Arabidopsis thaliana: one gene and its partners. The protein of the gene in region 2 interacts with the protein of the main gene of each other region in a pairwise test. Each region holds a gene or a part of one and is shown on either strand. Other genes may lie near its edges. The genes, in order: AGL89, ZFP2 and AT3G11280.

Region 1 (3,333 bases), about 14 Mb from region 2:
CTGCATAAGTTATGGATATCTAACATTCAATGTCTATTGTATATGTCAATCCTCCGGATACACTTTACTTAAGCTTGTACAAACATGAATCAAAAGACCTATGATAAGCTAGGAGGCACGTGTGGTAGCTCAAACGGATTCGTTGAGGCTCGTGAATAAGCAAAGAGAAGCAGAGAAGGCACGTGAAAACAGAGCAAGAAGAAACAGATTGTTTAACCACTAGCTTGAGAGTCTAGTGAGTTGTATATAAATAGATAGAAGGTTATTGCACAAGTTATGCATGTATTGATGTGTGTGTAACAAACCATAGAGGAGAGTTAGGAGATCTCTTGAACAAATCTCCATTGTTAGGGCTTGGAAGAATTTTAATCGGAAAATCACAAGGCATTGTAATCTGGAAATTCACCATTGGCTTCTAAATCCAACAAAGCCAACTAATTGACTCAGACAAAAATTGAATTGAGAATAGCATTCATAATGATAATACTTAGGAAAAACATACAATTCAACACAAACTCTTAATCAGACAATTAAAACTCATAATCTAAACTAGAAACAGATCGAGTCAGGGACTTGATAGAAGCTTCCGCTGTCATGGTTATAGACAAAGACTGAATATTTGCTCTGATGGTTACTCAATGGTGACGTCGATAGGTCTTGCTCTGTGTTTGACACACCAGTCACCAATGGTTCTGTCCATTGTTGATGATGATGATCCTCAGGAGAAGACAATGGATTCGTTGTGGAAGAAACCGCACGGCTCTGACCTAGCTCGGTCTGGTTCTCGGGTTGGAGTAACAGAAGCTTATCTTGTAATACCCGTAGACCACTTTCTAGCGAATCCTTCATCTCTAAGACTTTCTCCGACAATTTATTGTCGTCGAGGATCTTTTTACGTAGAAACAGAGAAAGGTTTGTTCTTTTCTTGCGTCGCTCTCTCTCGTGTAGTTTGCTAAACCTCTCAGCCATGTCTCGAACCTTGGATTGATCTTCCGGCCATGTCTTGATGAGTTCTCCGTCACGACCATAATATATGACACAGACTTCGATGTCGCACAGAGTTGAAAGCTCCAAGGCTTTCTTAAACATGGTCTCTTCTCTCATAGACAAATTCGTGGTCTTTTTTGCAGTAGAAGAAGAAGAAAGAGACGATTTCTTGAAACAAGTTTGGTTTCTCACAGACAATTTGGTTTTCTTCTTCGTCGACATTGAAGAATCCATTGTTGTTGTTTACACGGTGAAAGAAAGAAGCTTTAGTTTCTTGCAAAGAGAAAATAAAGTCAGAGAATTGGGATTAGGGTTTATATTGAATTTGTTAAATTCGATTTCCATATTTATTTCATTTTTCTTCAGTAACTGTAATGAAAATCTTTTATTTATTTTTAACGGAAATCTGAATTAGATCCGATTTCCATTTTACTAATATCTAACCGTTGTACGTAATTGACAATTTCTATGTAATGAATTAAAGAAAGCAAAAAACCCTAAAATTGCCACAATCTTCCTTCACTATTCGCTATTCGCTCTCTGTCTCTCTGCTTTGAATCTACTTTACGTTTCCTTCTTCGCAGGTTTTATTTGTCTCTTTGTCATATTTCGTTTAGTCTTCTTCTAATCACAGTTATGATGAACACTTCTTCACATTTAAAGGCACAAGCTTCGTGTCCACTTGTAGAACACTTTCTCCGTCGGAAACTTTCCAAGGAAAACTTCGACAGATTCATACCGAATAGATCGGCCATGGATTTCGACTTTGCTAACTACGCTCTTACCCAAGGAAGAAAACGTAATGTCGATGAGGTAACTTCAGCATCAAGAAAAGCCTACATGACGCAATTGGCTGAGGCTATGAATCAGAATCGCACTCGGATTCTCGCTTTCAGAAACAAACCTAAAGCTCTGCTTTCTAGTAATCACTCTGATCCTCCTCACCAACAACCTATATCCGTAAAGCCTCGTAGATACATTCCTCAGAATAGTGAGAGAGTCTTGGATGCACCTGGAATTGCGGATGACTTCTACCTTAACTTGTTGGATTGGGGCAGTTCTAATGTCTTAGCCATTGCTTTGGGAGACACTGTTTACTTGTGGGATGCGTCTAGTGGTTCTACATATAAGCTTGTGACCATTGATGAAGAGGAGGGACCTGTCACAAGTATTAACTGGACGCAAGATGGTCTTGATCTGGCAATTGGTCTTGACAACAGTGAAGTCCAGCTTTGGGATTGTGTTTCCAATCGTCAAGTGAGAACACTGAGAGGTGGTCACGAGTCAAGAGTAGGATCATTGGCATGGAACAATCACATTCTAACAACTGGAGGAATGGATGGAAAGATCGTCAACAATGATGTGAGGATCAGATCATCTATTGTTGAAACTTACTTGGGTCACACAGAAGAGGTTTGTGGTCTTAAGTGGTCAGAATCTGGAAAAAAACTAGCAAGTGGTGGTAACGACAATGTAGTACACATTTGGGATCATCGTTCTGTCGCTTCCTCAAACCCAACTAGGCAATGGCTGCATAGGTTTGAGGAACATACAGCTGCAGTGAGAGCTCTTGCTTGGTGCCCTTTCCAAGCGAGTTTGCTTGCAACTGGTGGTGGTGTAGGTGATGGGAAGATTAAGTTCTGGAATACACACACTGGGGCTTGCTTGAATTCAGTAGAAACTGGCTCTCAAGTTTGTTCATTGTTATGGAGCAAAAGTGAAAGAGAGTTGCTTAGCTCACATGGGTTTACACAGAACCAGCTTACACTTTGGAAGTACCCATCTATGGTGAAAATGGCTGAACTCAATGGTCATACATCAAGAGTTCTTTTTATGGCACAGAGTCCGGATGGTTGTACCGTGGCTTCTGCAGCCGGTGACGAGACTCTCAGGCTTTGGAATGTTTTTGGAGAACCACCTAAGACCACCAAGAAAGCTGCTTCAAAAAAATATACGGATCCATTTGCTCATGTGAATCATATTAGGTGAATCTACTGTGAAGACTAACAAGGAGAAAACCATTGATAGGTAATAATGTATAGAGAAGCAATGTATTCATCTTTTTTCCTGATTCATTATTCATGAATTTTATATAGTTAATACTTAATACAAAACCAAAAATATATGTAAACTGTTGAGTCAAACAGAACTAGAGTAGGTAGTAGTAGTATATGTTTCTTTATGAGATTTTTATGTAAAACTCTGTGATGTTGATGCTTACTGAAGCTTAATTTGTTTTTGGAAGAACAACTCTTTTCGATTCAAAGATTGAATTTTTCCCCATCAAAGGCTCTGTTTTGGATTTCATTGCAGAACCAAATTCTTTGTTTTTACACATACGCTTGA
Region 2 (3,324 bases):
CATTGATGAGAATTGAGAGTCATGAAGGTACACAATATATGTATTTCTTAAAAAAAGTCGAATACTAAATAGGAAAAACAAAATCTTAATTACCCTGTTATTTCGTTATATCATTTTGATTTAGACTTATGCCTTTCAATTTCATATCAAATTTTTTAATTTTTTGTAGATAACATATAGTAAAATATCTTGTTCTTTTAAAAGTGATGGTTTCAGCATGAAGAAAATAAAATATTTACATGATATAAAGTCCGAACATGGTGAAAATGCTCATATAGTAAATGTATATAGAGAGAAGAAAACACTAGTAATATACTAATATTTGAAGGGAAAAATCTTATGACTAGATGACGTAATGAACTCAAAAAGAATATACAATTATTAGTGAATATACGGATAGATACGTATATACATGTATTTATACTGATGTCATATGTGAATAAATGTTATTAATAGAAATTTACTTAACTAAGTATTGTTTCACAGCACATGTCTCCTTGTCGGGGCACATTGTTAGATTGATCAATAATGTATTATATACAAGCGACATTCATTCATTTTATAATGCAGTTGTAATATGATGTGCTCATACTATATATACTTAAAATAACCATCTATATAGAGAATTATAGATCCTTCATTTTTTTAACTTATTTAACTACTGCATTAGGTACCATCTTCCAAAATCAAATTTGGATTTGAATTTAGGACCATAGTTACAACTTACAAAGAAAACTTTCAGATAATAGGAAATGACTAATAAGTAAAACAATCAATTTTAAGATTAACAATTGATATGATAATATATAGACTAACAAAATATAAGATTCTTTTAGAGCCTTAAGGATAAGTCAAGGTGACTCTTCTCCTGATCCTGATCAAGACCACTCTCCGGCACACGGCGGGCGGAGAAGTCCCTCGAGCCGCCACTTTCGAGAAATCCTTGGTAGCCACGGCCGTAAAGCTCAAAGCGACCGGAGAACGGGTAAGGCTGATCAGAATCAACAGTGTTTGAGGATCTAAAGAGTTCTCGACTCTTCTTGGCTAAGGTTCTCTCAAGCTTATGAGCGTTTTGATGACCACCAAGAGCTTGAGAGCTGTAAAACTTTCTTTGACAATAGTTACATGAGAATACCCTAGGCTGCTCCAAACATGATGATGAGTTCGTGGAAGAAGATGAAGAAGAAGACATGGAAGAAGGCTCGAGAACAAGTTCTAGGTTTAGTTGGTGGTTCTTGTAACTTGGTAGGCTTAGACGTAGGGATGTGTTTGGCTGGTAGTCCATACCTTTATATATTCTTAGAGATAGAGAGAGAAAGAGAGATTAGAGAGATGAGAGAAGTGTGTTTGAAGAGTTTGGGCTTGAGGGGCATTATATTTAAGGTGTAAAGGTGCGTAGGTTTGCTCAAAACTCATGTTGGGTGCAACTTCAACTGTAAAGTATGGAGAGAGAGTAGAGAGATGAGACATGGAAGCTGAAAGAATCAGTGGGAATCCAAGTGTTGTCGCCTCCATTAATGGCACCCTTTGAACCCTTTGTCGGTCCATCTAATATTATTTACCTCCGAGTTTTATATATTTCTCGATACATCATTTTATTATATCCAATGGTCTCGTTTTAGAGTGTTGAAACACCTCAAGAATTATGTCCCATGTGGTAGTTGTTAAGACCGGACACATAAGATATCTGGTTTAATTTGAGCATTGTAGTTAATGTATGCCTTTTTCTAATTGGAAGTGTATAGTTATACCATAGACTTGCGTAAATTACTATGATTGTAATGAATTATCGATATGTATTCATACCAAAGTTTTCTAAGCATAACCAAGAAATCTATTTTTCTTCAAATTTAAATTAATACCAAAAATACTATGAGCTATAAAGACATCATAAAATAAAATAAAAAGTCAGTTTAAGATAATGTCGTCATGCTATGAAATACATCTACTAAAATGGTTTTATCTAAAGTAATTTGATTATAAAAGGTTCATTCAAATAAATTAGTTCGATTGTAACTTAGGAACGACATGTAACCTAGTAGTTTTATACTAGTGGATCAGTTGTTGTGTTAAAGCATGCATAAGCATATTGTTGACAAGATACAAAATTGTATATCACAAATTTAGATCGATAATATCGTTATGATATATGGTTGGAAAAAAAATCACTATATTTGTAATTTGAATAAAGTTGTTAAATAGTAATGTACGTCGTTCATAAATATATATTCGGAGTTAAATTTCTTTAATTCTGACTTTAGTACTTATAAATGGTAAGACAAACTCATAAAATTTGTCCAAAAAAAAAACTCATAAAATTTGTCCAAATATCTAATCAAGAGAGAATTTTTTTTCTTTTACATGGGGCATAATTGTCTACACAAAAAGTTAATAGAGAGTTTCAATCAAAACAGCTGTTAGGTTCATTAAATAATTTATGAAAAAAATGAAAGACTTAAGTTAAGATCAAAGCTCTCTTATCAAGTTTCCAGTAATGGCAATGAACACTTAACGAGATAAAGCTTTTTGACTCAGCTTAAACATGTAAGATGATGTTAACTTCCAATTAATTGAAATCATCGCCCACCGTACGATCAATCTCTCAATCCAACGGTTCACAAGGAGTTCGTACCAGATAAGATGTGGACTGCGCCACAGTGAACCCACTTTGGATATATCACGTTTTGCTTTTCGTGAGTTTATAATCGTAGAAGTCATTTCAGTTTGAATTGTTTCACATAAATTCAATTATTTTTAATTACTTTCGATCAATGAAGACACATCAATGTCATGTGTACATATGTTTCATTAAGACTTTTGTCGTTTAAAGATTGAGAGAGGTTACGTCTTTGTACTAATCTCTCAAGCTTGTTTCGCTTTCTTTAATTAATTTTTGTGTTTTATCGATTTTAAATTTTATGGTACTTTGCTAACCAGCCAAGTGAAATTGATTGATGAATTATTAATTTTTAAAAAGCTAACTACTAACCAACAAAAAAAAAAAAGATGTTTGAATGTCGTATAATTTTAAAATTATCATATGCGTGTTTTTGCTCAAAAAAAAAAAAAAAAAAAAAAAACCATATGCATGCAACTCCAACAAAATGGATCATTCGGAGAAGCTGAGGACTTATATATATATATATATATATTCAAAAACTCCTATATTCGTTAAAAAGTAGTCCATGTAAGTTTGTTTGTACCACTCAATTAGTGACAAATCACATTTATAAACCAAAACTTGAAATGTGAAACAAGAAAACCTTGAAATATAACACGGCGACATATTGGAATTTATTTTATTTTGCTGTTAAGAAAACTGAA
Region 3 (3,964 bases), on a different chromosome or scaffold from region 2:
TATCCAAAGGAAACTTGGAAAATGATCCTTGAGACTATCAATCAGAATACCGGTAAAAGCTTCACCAGACCGCAACTCAAGAATCATTGGGATTGCACCAGGAAATCGTGGAAGATCTGGTGTCAAGTGATTGGTGCTCCTGTCATGAAATGGGATGCAACTTCTCGAACATTTGGTGCTACTGATGAAGACTGGAAAAACTACTTGAAGGTATAAACGCTACTCGACTTTTTATATTAGTTGATTAAGTTTGCAGCTTAACATTGGTTCTTTGATTAACAGGAGAATCATAGAGCAGCACCATTCAGAAGGAAACAACTTCCTCACGCGGATAAACTAGCAACCATCTTCAAAGGACTTATAGAACCAGGAAAAGCCTATTTCCGTTCTTATCGCAGGAGAGTGCTTGATCATCATTCCGAATCACCACAGCTACATGACCCAACTCCATTATCAACACTTTACACAAACGAGCCAGTCTCAGGTAGTGAAGGTGGAGCTGATGAAGATGACAATGATGACGATGATGAGCAGCCTACTCCGCAGCACCGGAGATTTAACAGTGTTGGTTTTGCAGAGTCTCGGTTACAAGATGTTGAAATTGTAACTCCGGGATGCCACAGGTTAAAAACTGAGCTGATGAAGGAGAGTCCAGTGAGTGCATCGGTTAGGCAGTACGAGTATACCATTGGGGAATGCATTGAGTGTTTGGACTCCATGGAAGAGGTTGAGCAAGGTAGTGATCTTTACTTGTTTGCGTTGGATTTGTTTGTGAAGAAAGAGTACAGAGAGATTTTCTTGCTGTTGAAGAACTCAAGTTTGAGAATGTCTTGGCTGCTTAGACTTCGATCTGGTGGCCTTACCATTGCTGCCTAAGATCGTCATATTCTCCCAAACTTCTTCTGCTTATGTCTTATTATGCTAAACACTCTTGATTTATCTTTTGAACAGTGTGAGATGTTATATTATTAGGTTCCTTGAAAGATTTTATGACAGTCGAAATATTATAAGAGTTACTGGTTAACTTTTGTCGCAAGAAATTACTCTTGTCTCTATTGCAGATGAGAAATAAACTTCAAAGCATTCGTATCCTATCGTCTATGACTCTATGTAGCCTTCTCTTCTTCAAAATTAACTTAAGTTAAAAAACCTTGTACAGTTTGATTAGTTGATACAACCGATATACTTTTATTTGATTTTCTCTGTTTGCAGAAAGTAATTTAAAACTTATGTGAGCATCACAAGTAAAATGGAGAGATAGTGGGATTTAATGAGCTTTAGCTATTGAATCTGTCACACTTTCTAAAAATATTTTCCACCGACGCATAGATACTAAAACCAATCATCACTTAATTCCAGGTAAGAACTTAATCCTAAACAACCTCCTTAAGGAGACAAAATTAAGATATAAAAAGAGATAAATCGCGCCAGGTAGGGGTCGAACCTACGACCTTCTGCTTAGGAAACAGACGCTCTATCCACTGAGCTACAGGCGCTTTTGATTGTAATTATCAAAACATTATATTTATAACAAAACCATACAGTATGTCTCCGTGTGGACCAGAAAAAAGGCGATAGAACAAATTTGTCGTATTCCAAAGAATTAAATAATAGAATCAAATAGATCAATCAACTTTTTTTTTCTTTCTGAGAAAAATGAACCGCAAGAATCCGAGTGGAGTGGTGCCATTCGCTGTTCTCCAATCCAAATACGCCAAATCTTCCCAAAAATAAAGAAACCTTTCCTTTTCTTTCTCTTCACTCTGTTCCCATATCTACAGTGACTCTTCTCTCTCTGTATATTACTCTTCCTTCACTATCTCTCTCTCTTTACTGGGTCTTCTTCAGCTTCTGAGTCTTCTCCTCTCTCTCTATCTCTCAAGTGGGCTTTGCTTTGCTGTTTTTGTCTTCCTTCGACGACTCACTTTTGCAGATTCTCATAAATTCTTCAAAGCTTTGAGTCTTTTTTCAGATTCGAGGGTCGGTTTTATATATGCTTCAAATCTCTTACCCAAATCAGGTTCTTGATTCCCTCAGTATACGATTCTTCATTTTTCCTTCCCTTTTGTTTTTCTTCTTCTTTGATTCCTACTATATTATCATTAAACCTTATATATAAAAGCTTCCATTATTTCCTTATATCACAAATCTATCTTTTAAGCTTCCTCCACACATAGAGCAAGAAAATGGACTTTTTTGAGCTGTGTTTGTAGTTGAAACTTATTCTTCCCTTTTTTTGTTTTTAGGTATGGAGACTCTGCATCCATTCTCTCACCTACCTATCTCTGACCACCGGTTCGTTGTTCAAGAGATGGTGAGCTTACACAGCTCGAGTAGCGGTAGCTGGACTAAAGAAGAGAACAAGATGTTCGAACGAGCTCTTGCGATATACGCTGAAGACTCGCCTGATCGCTGGTTTAAAGTTGCTTCCATGATCCCTGGAAAGACTGTTTTTGATGTTATGAAGCAATATAGTAAGCTTGAAGAAGACGTTTTCGATATTGAAGCAGGACGTGTTCCCATTCCTGGTTATCCTGCAGCTTCTTCTCCCTTGGGGTTTGACACGGACATGTGTCGTAAACGGCCTAGTGGAGCTAGAGGATCTGATCAAGATCGAAAGAAAGGAGTCCCTTGGACAGAGGAAGAACACAGGTTAAGACACTCTTTCATCTCTACAGAATTCTTTCCATATAAGTCACTCTTCCTAGGTTCCTTGCAACGCAAGTCATCCCCTTTTTTCTTAGGGTTTTCAATGCTCTGTTTCTTGTTCCTTGCAGGAGATTCTTGTTAGGCCTTCTCAAGTACGGTAAAGGAGATTGGAGAAACATATCGAGAAACTTCGTGGTGTCAAAGACGCCAACGCAAGTGGCGAGCCACGCCCAAAAGTATTACCAGAGACAGCTCTCCGGAGCCAAGGACAAACGCAGGCCAAGTATCCATGACATCACAACCGGCAATCTTCTCAATGCCAATCTCAACCGTTCCTTTTCCGATCATAGAGATATTCTCCCTGATTTAGGGTTTATCGATAAGGATGATACGGAGGAGGGAGTAATATTTATGGGTCAGAATCTCTCTTCAGAAAATCTGTTTTCTCCATCACCAACTTCATTCGAAGCTGCCATTAACTTCGCCGGAGAAAATGTCTTCAGTGCCGGAGCTTAAGGCAACATAGAATCCCCAAACTCAGCGTTCTTAAGAATCTGAGTTTTGAAACTGTAATTAGAGAAATATAAGCAAAACCAAGTTTATTATATATGTATTGTGTGGTTTAAAAGTAAGAACTTGTTTTTACTCTGTATTTTTGTGTTTCTGTCTACTAAATACCTGTTATGTTAAAAAAAATCTGTGTTTTCTTTTCGATTAAATTATAGACTTATAGTTGTGAAAAAGAGTACTTGTGCTTTATGACAAGTTGATAACCCTAACAATTTACCACAATATATCTATTTTATGGTGTTAAATGCAAATTATAAAGATATACTGTAATAAAGACTTAAAGAGATTAAAAAAAAAAAAAAGACTCAAAGAGATCAAACACCACACAAAAATGAGAAATTTGTGAAACATGTTTTGGGTTAGATTTATTTAAGAAGATGGCTATAGTATAGTTTTAAATATTGAGTAAAGTTTTGGTGGAAGGTATGAAGAATTGATTTGAGTATAAAATAGAGGCTGAGTCTGCTTTCCACTTCTGACCAAAGAACCTCATTCTTCTCATCTATTACACCAACCTCCTGACTCATATATATATTAACGTATTTAGAATTACGTATAATGGTGTCATTTGTATAAAAAACATATATGAATGAAATGTTTATTTTATTTTTTAATCATTTGGTGCCCCAATCTAAACACTGCTCACATTTGAATTATGCAACTTGAAATAACTTTGATAAATTTATATTGAAACAACTTTGAAATATTATTTATCACAGTTCATATGCAAAGTTGGACCAAAGGC

The links.
Region 1: the proteins of ZFP2 (region 2) and AGL89 interact in a two-hybrid assay, tested with the Arabidopsis thaliana proteins (one large-scale study listed by BioGRID).
Region 3: the proteins of ZFP2 (region 2) and AT3G11280 interact in a two-hybrid assay, tested with the Arabidopsis thaliana proteins (one large-scale study listed by BioGRID).

The regions. Positions count from the first base shown.
Region 1 is NC_003076.8:9,734,539-9,737,871, reverse strand, and holds AGL89 (AGAMOUS-like 89), read right to left. Parts: upstream 1,348-3,333; 5' UTR 1,222-1,347; coding exon 550-1,221; downstream 1-549. Other genes in the region: CDC20.5 (cell division cycle 20.2, cofactor of APC complex-like protein), read left to right, coding at 1,624-2,976.
Region 2 is NC_003076.8:23,293,980-23,297,303, reverse strand, and holds ZFP2 (zinc finger protein 2), read right to left. Parts: upstream 1,653-3,324; 5' UTR 1,286-1,652; coding exon 833-1,285; 3' UTR 528-832; downstream 1-527. UniProt on the Arabidopsis thaliana protein: Probable transcription factor involved in the regulation of floral organ abscission. Participates in processes that directly or indirectly influence shedding of floral organs.
Region 3 is NC_003074.8:3,532,678-3,536,641, reverse strand, and holds AT3G11280 (Duplicated homeodomain-like superfamily protein), read left to right. Parts: upstream 1-1,647; 5' UTR 1,648-2,020; exon of another isoform or gene 2,021-2,246; 5' UTR 2,247-2,248; coding exon 2,249-2,652; intron 2,653-2,777; coding exon 2,778-3,165; 3' UTR 3,166-3,431; downstream 3,432-3,964. Other genes in the region: AT3G11290 (Myb/SANT-like DNA-binding domain protein), read left to right, coding at 1-210, 283-876.